Cricetulus griseus: one gene and its partners. The protein of the gene in region 3 interacts with the protein of the main gene of each other region in a pairwise test. Links are inferred from orthologs where the notes say so. Each region holds a gene or a part of one and is shown on either strand. Other genes may lie near its edges.

What was found.
Region 1: the proteins of Arl15 (region 3) and Unc119 interact in binary tests that used the Homo sapiens proteins (3 or more experiments, as listed by UniProt). The link is inferred for Cricetulus griseus from reciprocal best matches to the Homo sapiens genes ARL15 and UNC119.
Region 2: the proteins of Arl15 (region 3) and Pde6d interact in binary tests that used the Homo sapiens proteins (3 or more experiments, as listed by UniProt). The link is inferred for Cricetulus griseus from reciprocal best matches to the Homo sapiens genes ARL15 and PDE6D.

The regions. Positions count from the first base shown.
Region 1 is NC_048600.1:91,729,154-91,733,516, reverse strand, and holds the start of Unc119 (protein unc-119 homolog A), read right to left. Parts: upstream 2,808-4,363; 5' UTR 2,694-2,807; coding exon 2,474-2,693; intron 1,659-2,473; exon of another isoform or gene 1,535-1,658; coding exon of another isoform or gene 1,528-1,534; intron 1-1,527. Other genes in the region: Pigs (GPI transamidase component PIG-S), read right to left, coding at 4,213-4,363. UniProt on the Homo sapiens protein: Involved in synaptic functions in photoreceptor cells, the signal transduction in immune cells as a Src family kinase activator, endosome recycling, the uptake of bacteria and endocytosis, protein trafficking in sensory neurons and as lipid-binding chaperone with specificity for a diverse subset of myristoylated proteins.
Region 2 is NC_048595.1:438,252,318-438,256,483, forward strand, and holds the start of Pde6d (retinal rod rhodopsin-sensitive cGMP 3',5'-cyclic phosphodiesterase subunit delta), read right to left. Parts: upstream 2,896-4,166; 5' UTR 2,728-2,895; coding exon 2,678-2,727; intron 1-2,677. UniProt on the Homo sapiens protein: Promotes the release of prenylated target proteins from cellular membranes. Modulates the activity of prenylated or palmitoylated Ras family members by regulating their subcellular location.
Region 3 is NC_048595.1:331,975,138-331,978,747, reverse strand, and holds part of Arl15 (ADP-ribosylation factor-like protein 15), read right to left. Parts: intron 301-3,610; coding exon 148-300; 3' UTR 1-147.

The DNA of each region.
Region 1 (4,363 bases), on a different chromosome or scaffold from region 3:
GAAGGAAACCAGGAAAGCTAGGCATTGCCTAGGGAGTTCATGGTCTGACCCTAACCTCTCTTCAGTTGTTGCTATTCCTAAGCCGGGGGTCTCATGTAGCCTAGGCTAACCCTCAAACCCACTAGGTGGCAGATGCTAGCCTTGAACTCCTGTTCTTCCTGCTTCATACAACTTACTGTTCTCATGGCAGCAATAGCAAGTCCTAGGGGAAGCCCTGGCAAGAAACAGGAAGGAGCAGAAAATGCTAGGGAGGCTTGGGTGCTGTTAAGGTACCACATCCTCCCTGCTGACCTACAGAGGCCGGAAGTCACCCCTGGGCCACCTCCTATTCCTCTTGTGGTTGGAAGAGGAAGTGAATACAAAGTCATTCTCTCTTCCCTAGGGCAGCCCCCTCCAGGAAGCCCTCCTGACAGCCCTCTAGCACCTTGGAGCTTGGCAGAAACTATATAAAATTTTAGAGGGTGCTGAGCTCTGACCTATCCATCACAGCTCAGTAAGGTCTGCCCCACAGCTATAGAAGATGCTGCAGAGGGAAGGGAGGGTGGGCAGAACCTGGAAGCAGGATCCTAGCTGCCCAACTCCCAGGAAAAACCTCCCTTTTTACCCTGTGTCCAGCTTGGGAGCCTCTCCTCTCCCTGGGAACAACTTCTCACACCCAGACCTTAGTCTCTTACACTGAAAACTCAATCTGTCAGCCCCTCTGCCCTAGCAGGGAGTGAGGGTCAGGGGCTGCCTAGGGCTCAGGACACTGCAGCCACTCTCTCCCCTCTGCAAAACAAGAGGCCTAGGACCCAAGGTCAGTCCAGAGTAATGGCTCAGAAGCCAATTGCTCTCCCTGTAGCCACAAATAGCTCCCTAAGCCGGATTCAGGGCCTGGTAATCCAGGAACAGCAAACCTCAGACCTATGTGATTAGGGTCAGAAGATAGCAGGCAAGGTGGAGAGGCCTGGAACCCTGTTTTCAAATCCCACACAGGAAAGGGCTCTCACAAGGCACTTGTCCTTGCTCAACCTCTACAAGCTATGAATTCCCTCCAGACTGGGAGACCCATGCTGTGACTTCACCTGGAGGCTTCCTTCGTTGCAAAATAAGCCTTCAGTTATCCAGGAGTGAGGCAGGTGATCCTGCCCCCCACCCATAGGGCTAAATTGAACTGTATGGGCTGCTGTTACAAAATGCAGCCCACTGGCTTCCACACCAGCCTGGTCCAGGCCCCTCCCCCCTCCACTGATGCCTGCTTGTCCAAGGGAGGTCTAGCCAAGAATCTGCCGCTGCTGCCTAGCTCTGAACGGAGGAGGGAGGCCCCTAGGGACCCAGATGCACAAGCTCAGGCCTGCCATCCTGGTCTCCACAGCTGTCTGGGAGCCCTCAGCTCTGCTGCTCCTGCAGATCCATCCAGGCTTTAGGTTCCACTCTAGCACTTGTGTCCATCCCATAGAAAGGGACTGCTAGCTCACAAAGGGAGCTGGAGCAGGTTGCTGGTGACCCACCCATTCCAAGGCAGTGTGCCACTTTCTCTCCAAATACCTTCCATTCCTCAAGGCTCAGCCAACCTTCTGCCAGAAGACTCTCTAGTCCTGTTCACCATCTGTAGTGACGCCTGCCTCTGCCCTGAATGCTCACTTATCTGCCTGCAGACAGCTGCTCTGAACCAAGTCCTGTGTTGATAAAAAAGCCCTGTTGACATAGCATGCATAGCATGCCAAGCATTGTCGAAAAGCAGGAGACAGGCTTTATTTCACAATAACCTTGAGGGAGGTAACATTGTTCCCATTTTACAGATGAAAAAACATGCCTCTGGAAATGAAATTACATCCCCAAGGTCACACAACCAATTATGGGGCAAAAGTGGGACTCTAGTCCAGGCAGCACAGCTTGGAAACAGCTCCAGTGGAAAATGGGCTTCCATTGATGAGAGAGCCCTGGTTAAAAAAACAAGTACCAGCCAGTCCAGGCTTGGGATCACACACTTGTTTCCATGACACAGCCCACAAGCCAACAGACTGAAGCACCCGATCAGTAACGTTCCTGGGAAGAGTATGGCGCTAGCCCTAATGGGGAAGCAGGGTGAGGGACCCTGGAGGTATTCCTCGACTCCACCTCGCCAGAGGATAGGTGCTTAAGAGACTGCCAGTCCGGCACACTCCTCTGTGACCAGCTTCAAAGAGTCCACAGGGGAAAGGGTTCAGATGCAACTGCTGCCCCACCTCTACCATGGGAAAAGGGGTGGGCCCCTTGAAAAGGAAGGAGGGAGGTGAAAATAAGCCCTACTACATGTAGAGGAGGGGCGCACCAAGACACCAAGGAAAATAACAGAAATCTCAGGCTTGGAGGCAAAGGGAGAGTAAAGGGACACAGAGGAGGGGCACTGCGTGGGGGAAGGGTGAGCGCGGGGGCCGGACTCTGAGCCTCGTGGGCCCCCTCCCGAGCTCTCCCTCCAGCCCGCGGGTGGCGCTCCCTTGCCGGTGCTCACCGCCCGTAATCCGCTGCAGCCCCAGCACGTCGTCCGGCCCGATGGGCTGCTTGCCCTGCAGCGGTCCCACCCTGGGCCCCGGGCCTGGTTCTGGCTCCGACTCGGACCCGGACTCGGATTCTGCCCTAGGCTCCCGCGTGGGTTCCACACTCCGGTTCGAGGCCCCTGGAGCGGGCTCCGCCCCCGTCCCGGTCCCGCCGCCGCCCTTCTTCACCTTCATGGCCTCGCGGGGCGGCGGATCCTCGCCTGCTGCTACCGCGTCTGCTGCCTGAGCTGGCTGGAGTCGGGGGAAGGGGGAAGAGTCCGCCGCCCCACCCCCGGTCGGGCCCCAGGTGCCGTCCCGCCTTGTCCACGCCCATAGCGGGCGCGTCATGCATGCCCCGCCCACCGACTGGCATCTCCCCCCCTCCGCCCCCCCCACCCCCTCCGGTAGAGTCAGGATCCTGGGGTCCTCTTGAACTTCACGGTTCTTTTGGACAATGTAAGGTATACTGAATACCTCTCTTTCTCTCTGGGTTCCAGCCTCAAGGTCTTTCCCTGATAGCTCCATCCTTGAACTGATTCCAGTTCAAGTCTCAACCTCCCACACCCACCCAGTTCTAAAGTACTTCCTCTCAGTTTCCAGCTAACCAGCCTGTTGTTTTTTTTTCTAATGCATTAGGCAAAATTATTTGTATTTGTGCCCTGACCTTTGCTCCTCAAAGGTCAGATCTATGAAAGCAACCATACTCTATACTCTGTTCTCTATAACATCCCAGTGCTAGCACAGTGCTCCTGGCAGCCAGTACCCAGGATTTCCCTTTGTTGAACTGATGAGTTAATATCCCAGGGCTGTCACTGGCTCAAGCTATTCCTCCCTAGAATTCCTGCTCAAAAGCAGAAGCATATATTCACAGCTTTAGGCACCCTACAACATGCAAATATCACAGCCCAGGTGTCTAGCCATTCCCAGACTCCACAGTCAGGTGGGACATGGAAGACCTGTGAGCTCAGGGCAGATCAGACTGCTTCTCACACATGAGTGAAAATAATGATATGTCATATCAACTCATATTCAACCAATGTTTATTAACAACCTAATACATATTTTTAAAGAGCCCAATATACACAACACTTTTATATGCTTATCACATTTAATCCAATGCCCTTCTGAGAGTGACGTCATTAATGCTTTCCGACAGATGAAAACCTGTGGCTCAGTGAGAAGCGCTGCTTATCTAAAGCTCTCCAGTACCTCAGTGCAGCAGGGGTCCAATCCAGGCCTATTGGATTCTAAGTCAGAAGTGTTTCCTCCTATACCACACTGCCTCTCTGAAAGGGTAGAGGGGAACCAGTTCCTAAGCCACTGCCTCCTAGACCAGGCTAGGCTGTACCCAATGGGTGATACCAGTCAGGAAGGAGAGGAAGGAGGGAGAAAGTCTTAGAAGTGGAGAGGAGGGGGCTACAATTTAACCCAAGGATTTCCCCTAAATCGACCCCTCAGTGCCATAGTATGCTGTGCTGACAGGCTGGAAGGACAAGGTGCCACTGCCCAGGGGTAGACAGGCAAAGGCCTTTAAGTTCAAGCCAGTGGGATAGGGAGGGAAGGGAGGATGAGTCCATCGTTGAGCATCATCCTTTGGTTGGTGGAGAGCCAACAGAGAAGAATGAAGACAAACCATCAAACCTCACTTTGGTGTCTTGGCCCAACACTCCTAGCTTGGCCAGACAAGAAGTCTACCTCTGACATGCCACCCAGCTCAGTCTACCTTCTCAGGCTTTTTCCAGGACTTGTGAGTTTCCAGAAAGATCTTGACCAGAGACAGGAGGATGGGCACAGCCATAGGCAGGAAAAGTGGGATATAGATAGCAAATTTCTGGTCATCAGGGAAATACAAGAGGTGGAGGAGT
Region 2 (4,166 bases), about 110 Mb from region 3:
GCTCATATATTTGAATGTTTGGGGAGGATTAGGAGGTGTGGCCTTGTTAGAGGCATGTTACTGGGAGTGGGCTTTGAGGTGTCAAAAAAACTTTCAACGTTCCCAGTTATCTTTCTCTGCCTAATATTTGGGGATCAGATGTCAGCTCTACCACGCCTACTTACCTGTAGCCTCTAACCCTCTGAAACTGTAAGTCCCAATACTTTTTCTCTAAGTTCCATTGTTCAGTGTCTCATCACAGCAACAGAAAAGTAAGATAAGTGGTAAGCACAAAAACTTTTCCAGAAACAATCTGAAAACAGTTCAGAAAAAAAAAATCCAACAAAGGGAGGCCAGTGGTCAAGTTGTTTCTAACATAAAATTATCTTTTAAAAAAATGAAAGCAGAAGTCTGAGTGGGGTGTGGTGGTAGTGGCAGCATGCTATATAGCTTTTCTACACTTCAGCTATCCACATCTGCTTATGGGCCCTATTATAAAGACAAACAGAAACATCCATGGAACTATAAAAGGGTCTGTTACTAAACTTCATGATCTAAAATCATTGAGCATTTATCATGAATGGCAATATGTAAGGCCTTCTGTTTTTAAACAGCATAGCAGGGCAACTCATTTTCCAGTCCCCTCCCAGCCACAGGGAACGGTTTCTTTTCTTCTCATACACTCGGCTTGCTTGCCCTTAAGACCAAACCATCAAAACCTCAGAAGATTAGTTTTGCACTTGAAGTGTTTTCATTTTTGCACATAGAACTTCCTGTGTTGCTTTTCTCTCCCTGGTGCTACAGAAACCCAAGACCTTGTTTATACTTCCAGTCCACTCCCCCACCACTCTTAGACATGTGGGGTTTTTTTTTTGTTTGTTTGTTATGGTCCTTTTTCTTTTTTTGGTCTTAGGGTCTCTCATTCTGTAGCTTAGACTGGTCTTGAATTCATGACAATTTCCTGCTCCAGTCACCAAGTGTGGGAATTATAAGTATGATCTATCATGCCTTGCCAAGCTTTCTAAATTTTACTATCACCCTTGGTTCCCCCCCTTTTTTTCTGAGATATGGTTTTTCTGTGTAGCCCATCTGTCTTCCTGTAACTCTCTTTGTAGACCAGGTTGGCCTTGAACTCACAGAAATCTGCCTGCCTCTGCTTCCCAAGTGCTGGGATTAAAAGCATTCGCCACCATGCCCGACCATCCTTGGTTTCTAACTATGACAAAGCAATTAAATCCTGGAAGAGGTGAAACAGGTCCTGTGAAGATGCAACAGGTTGCTCAGAGAACAGTGCTTCCTAACCCTTCATGGAAGAAGGGGCTCAGTAAGAGATGGGTACACTGCACGGAGGGAGGAACTTATGAGTATTCCATACTGATGGAAGGAATGTAAGCAGAGATCAAGGTCAGCAGAAGGCAAAACTACAATACACTCTATTTGCATTTTATGGTGGCAAATATTCCACCAAAATACAGAGCTTCTAGTCGGAGGTGCTGGCCCACACTCTGAATCCTAGCACTTCGGAGACAGAGGCAGGTGGATCGCTACTTGAGGCTAGCCCGGTCTACACACAGAGTTCTGGGTCAGCCAAGTTACACACTGTGACCCTGTCTCCAAAACGAAACAAACACTGCAAACCTTTCTTACTATATACAGAGGTTGCAAATGTCGCACTACAACTACAACAGGCCTGAGGTAATTGTTTATTTTCTCTGCCTCCTCACTTTTCTTCCTTTTTGAAGGAGGGTCTTCAGGAACTCAGGCTGGCCTCGAACTATGAAGCCGAGGATGACCTGAATTTCTGATCCTCCTGCTTCTATCTCCCAAGTACTGGGAAAACAGGCATTGGGCACCAAGTCCACCGAGGCAATGATTTCTTATATGACATGGTGTCCTCAACAGAAGTTAACTGTGAACAGCTCCCCTGTGATAAAGCATTAACCGAAGCAATGCCAAGGAACAAAGATAGTTTTGCTAGGAGTCAGTTCAAAACCAAAGTACCTCAAGACATCTCTCACACACACGATCATGCTGGAAAGATAACTTGAGAGGCTGAGGAGAAAAGGGACCATCCAATGCCTCAAAGGCCAAGAAAGTGTTAAGGTGGGGTTGGTCTTATATTTCTCTTTCCCCACCTTCCCACTACTCCAGCCCTACAAGAAGCCACAAGTGAGGAAGAGAAGTTGTGGAAACAAGACGGGTGTTGGTGGTGGAGTGAGATGAGGTACCCAAGAACATGTCCAGTTATCTCACACAAGGTCACTTGCTTGGAGTCACTTTCCCCTGCTCCCTCATGGGCTTCCCGCCAAAGATGCTCCAAAGCAGGTTAGGAGGCCAGCCCGACGCACCCCCTCGGCCTCAACCTGCGGACCACGACCCCCGCCTCCCCAGCCTTCTGGTCCGGACCAGCCCCACAGGACACCGGCTTTTGATGCCTACAACTCTGGCAGCCAGTCCCGGGGCTCCTCCGGTTCCGTCCCCTGAGGCTCCGTCAACGTCCCCTTCCTCCCTCAGGGCGTCCCTGTGCCCGCCTCCCGTTCGCGGTCCCTCCCGGGGGCCCGGCACGCCGTTCCTTTCCAGCCCCCGCTCACAGCCCTTCTTCCCGGTGCCCACCTGGCGCCCCGCCACTGCCCGGCTCCTGCAAGCCCCGGCCTCCTCCCAAGTCCTCCCGGCCCCGCCCCTGCTCCCGGGCGGATACAGTTTGAAGCCTCTCAGGATATCCCTGGCCCGCTCGTCCTTGGCTGACATGATGCGGCGCCTGCCGCCTGCGGCCCTCCCACGCTGGCTCGGCGGGGCCTCGCTGACGGTACCCAGGAACTGAGGACGGAGCTGCTGCCGGGCCGGACACCTCAGGCGAGCAGCGGTAGCGGCCAGACCCGAACCGGCCTCTCCCTCCCCTCAGCTCCCGCTCCTGATCCCTTCTCCTTCCCTCTAGTCGAGGAGCTCCCGCCCTGAAACCAATGGCAAGCCAGCCTTGACGATTGGCATTCCGAGCAGCCAATGGCAACGCTCAGCGGCTTCGCTCGGGGACAGAGAGCGTCAGTGGGAAAGGCCCTCCAGGAGGAGTCCCGGAGGACAGAATTTTCATTCGTGTTGTTGCCTGGAGTTTGTCCCAGCGGAGAGCAGTGGCTGGAAATCTTCAGAGGTTTGAGGAGCCTGCTCCCGTCGCCGGGCACACTTGCGGTCTGAGACTATGGCAGGCTGCTCTGTGCAAAGTGGCAGAAACTACATTTCCCAGGCTCCCAGGGAGTACGGAATCCCAGCTCGCCACTTAGAAGCCAGGGACTACAAATCCCAGCACAATCTGCGCTCCGTCTTTCTAACTTGGGCTCCAGTGTGCCGCGCAGGGTGCGCAAATTTGGAATCCTTCTGTAGGATTCGTTTCTGAATCCCGTTACTTGAAACCCGGCGGGAAGGTCCTCATTCTCCCTGGAGACATGACAGCCCGCCGACAGTTAACTTCTGTTTACACGGAACTCAGAAGTCTGCAAACCATGGTAAGACTGCAAACAACTAACAAAACCACGGATTAAGCCTTGAAAGATAATAGAACAAAATGACTTCCTCAAATAGTACTAATTTATTAGCCTGGAGTGCAGTTTTATGTGTTTTGCAGGGTTTATGTTGTGTTTCAGCTTCGGGCTGGGAGAGCTAAGGATTGTATACCCAATGTCAGTATAGGAAGACTTAAAAGAATTTGCCAGCCCAATCACTTTTATCTTTAGTTTTTAAATATGAGGAAATTGAGGACCGGAGAGGCATAGACTGGCCACAGATCACAGCAAGTTGAGACAGAATTTGGCTTTAAGTCTACTGACCTGCAATGTATTCGCTTTGCACTACCCTAGCTAGGGAGGCGATATTTTTAGCAGCATGACAATGTGATTGTTTTTCTTTTTAATGACAGTTTTCCCAACTAGTGTTGAAACACCTAGAGAATAGGTAAGCATTTATTTGGTGGATTTCCTGAACAGAACTATGGTGTGATAGTGTGATATCCTCAGTCTAATAGGTCTTGCTATTTTGATTTGCTTTTTTTGTCATTCAAGTTGACATTTAATATGATTTTTTTCCAGAAAGTAGGTAAAGTTATTTTAACCTCTGTTTCTTTAAAGATGGCTATGTCTTTCCCTAGGCCATCTTCCTATTTCTGTTGCCACCATATCCATTTGAGCACCCACCCATTT
Region 3 (3,610 bases):
GAACAGTCATTTTAACAGAGAGATGAAAGTCTGAAACAGCGAGAGGAAAACATACTGAAGCCATGACAACCTTGACACCAACATGAAATTAGAATGGGAAACTAACATGATGGGTTCAAGGCTTTGGGGGAACTTTTGTGTCAAATTTCACATTCTCACTGCCTCCAGGTCTTTTTCTTCTAACAAGTTTATGAGCTGGGAGAAGCTGTCTTTCAGTGCGTTCATGTCATCTAGCGAACAGGGCTGCAGAATCCAGCGTTTTCCACGTGCAAGTGGTTCAAGTTCAAAATATTTTTTGATCTAAAGAGAAAAAAAAAAAAGAGAGATGTTAGTAATTGCATCAGGACTGTTTTTTCCCTATAAGATACTAAGTGATGAAGTGGGGGGTATTGAGCCAAATTTATATGAACAGTCATGTCCAGGCGCTCCAGTCTGTCCACAGCTGTTGCTTTAACAGGGTTGTATGTTGTGACCTGGGAGTGTTTTCTTTGGGCGAGGGTGACCTGCTTATGAGCCACCATTCTGACTTTACACTCAACTGCTGAGGAGTTCTTATGAAGTCTGAGAAAGAATTATATGTACTACAGGGCAGGGAGAATCACAAAAGAACACCCAAAAGATTCTACTTGCTCTAGCCACTGTTAGCCATGCAACATTTGCTGTCTTACCCTGACAAAGTACGGATCCTATCAACCACACAAGACAATCCAGAAAGAAACCAATGTTGGCGATCTTATCCTCTCACTACCTTGAATTTCTAGCGGATCCTTTATGAGAGCCAGGAAAGGATCTTCTAGAAGAAAGAACAGGAGCTAAAGGTACAGTGCTCAAGGCTGCCTGCCCATATGGGTCAAGATAAATTATCAGATTTATAAATATGCATAGAGTCTCTCAGGTTTTCTTCTCTCTCCCCCCCCCCCAGTCCTGGACTTTCTGGGAGGGAAAGATAGAATCCCTGACTAAATCAGTTTCGCACAGCTAGGGCTTACACAAGTACCAGCTTTGCTCTTAGGGGATGGGATAAAGAGTTCTTCCAGCTCCTCACTCATTCACATACAGTGGGCCAAAGTAAAACTCTGTACTTATCACCAAGGAAGATTTTCTGAAAACCATATGCCACTCCCGAATGTTCCATTCTGCCATCACAAAGGCCAGACTGTTACCAGCAAAACCACGCTGTCCACACCAGCTTACCCCAGCAAGGGGATATCTTTTGTTTGTTTTTGCTTTTTGAAACAGGGTCTCAGTAGGTAGCCCTGACTGTTCCAGAACTCCTCAAACTTGTGGATAATCCTCCTGCCTCTGACCCCAAAGTATTGGAATTTCAGGTGTGTATCATGTTTGACTCAGAAATACCAAATGCTGTACAATTTAGAGCTGAAAATAATGCTAAGATTTTATATTTCATGAATATCTCTATTCAGCTAACCATGGTATCCCACGTCTTTAATCCCAGCACTTGGGAGGCAGAGGCAGGAGGATCTCTATGAGTTCGAGGCCAGTCAGGGATGCATAGTGAGATACTATCTAAACACACACACACCCTCTTATACATATTTCAGATTGACAATAAATGCCTTTTTCATTCTTTAAAAAAAAAAAGCTATAAGAATTGAAGGTCCCTCTTGATTTGAATTCTGAAGAGTAATGACAATTTATTTCATCCATAGATCAGAAAAAGATGGCTCAGAAAATAGGCCAGGACAATTTTTCATCCAAATCACTGCACAAATTATTTAAAGAAGATACTTGCTTTTTAAGAATACACATGTGAGGGCTGTGGAGATGGCTAAACAGTAAAGTGCTGGCTGTAATGTGTGAGGACCAGCATTTGGGTCCCCAGGATCCATGTAAATGCTGGTTGGGTGGGGTAGCTTATAATTTCAGCATCCTCAGAAGACTAACAAAGGGGACCCATAGAGCATGCTGGCTAGCTAGTCAAGCTGAATCTGTTAGTCCTGGCTTCAACTGCAAAATCCTGCCTCAGTAAATAAGCTGGAGAATGGCTGAGAGAGATTGCCAATGTCAGACTTGGTCCCGTCACCAGTTCCACACACACATGTAAGCTTGTATGTGCATATAACATATATGCAGTCATATATGAAAATTAAAAAACAAGCAAAAAAAACCCACAACACCCCAAAACACCAAACCAAACAAGAACCTTCCCACCTCAATTCCATTCTCCTAGTTTCTTTTTTTCTTCATTGAATACTGAAAACAGTTTACCTCTAAGAAAACCTAAAGTACCTTTGTGTAATAACCATCACTTCGAGAGGCAGAGGGCAGACAGAGCTCACAGGGAGAGCCCTTGGTTAGCAGGAAGGTGAAGAGCAGCAGAAGGTACAGGGAGGGAATATGTTAAATGCTACAGCTAGGAAAAGGTTTCCCCAAAGGGTGTAAACCAAGGCTGTTTGTCTCCTTTTTCCCATTTTAGATTCTACCAACAATTCCAGAAATTGGGCCTGCCATGCTTATAATGCAATCCAGTATTTGATCAGTAATGCTTCCCACCAGATGATGATCAATGGGTAATATACAAATTCTGGTACATGACGTAAGCTGTGCCACTGACATTTTAGAACCTTAATTCAAAAGGGTAGCATTTTAAATAATACTAATTGGAGCCGGGTAGTGGTGGCGGACACCTTTAATCCCAGCAGTAGGAGGCAGAGGCAGAGGCAGAGGCAGAGGCAGAGGCAGAGGCAGAGGCAGAGGCAGAGGCAGATACATCTCTGAGTTCGAGGCTATCATGGTTTACAGAGTGAGTTCTAGGACAGCCAAAGCTACAAAGAGAAACCCTATCTTGAAAAACAACAACAACAACAACAACAAATAATAATAATAATAATAATAATTAATAATAATGATAATAGGAAAAAGCACTGGTCATGAAGAATTCAGTAATATAAAACCAGTAAGTAGGCAAATGTATCTATCTCATTAGAAAGATTTCTTCTTAGCAGTTCATTTAAAAATTGCACAGAATCAACCGGGCATGGTGGTAGACACCTTCAATCCCAGCACTCATAAATCTGAGGCAGGCAAATCTGATTTGAGGCCAGACTGTTCTCCATAGTGAGTTCCAGGCCAGCCAGGACTACATATGAGACCCTGTCTCAAAAAGAAAAACAAAGCAAAAAACAAAACAAAACAATACACAGAATAATCCTAACAGCAGAATTCAAACTAATTTGAAAACATTGGGTTTAATTAATGATTGCCAAGTAGCTAGTCATATTTTGCATTACTGACAGACATAGAATTTAGTGAGTTCTAGTGTGCTTCTCATGTAAACACTTGGAAGAGAATAAATGTCTAAAGGTAGGTCTCATCGAATCCTAAACAAGGAAATGGGAGCTGCAAAGGCAGCAGGATGGTCAGCAGGCAGAGGAACTGGCAGTGTTAAGCTGACAAATATGGCCAAGTAACTTGAGATTTTAGTAACCTAATTGGGTATCTAACCCTGCCACAGTCACCCAGCTGGGTATTCGAAGGATTCCACACAATTATAATATCAATTTTAAAACAGGATTGCAATCCCCAGATGCTGAATACCGTCAGTTTCTCTGCTGCCAGAACACAGCTTTCACTATCCATCTAGTGCTTC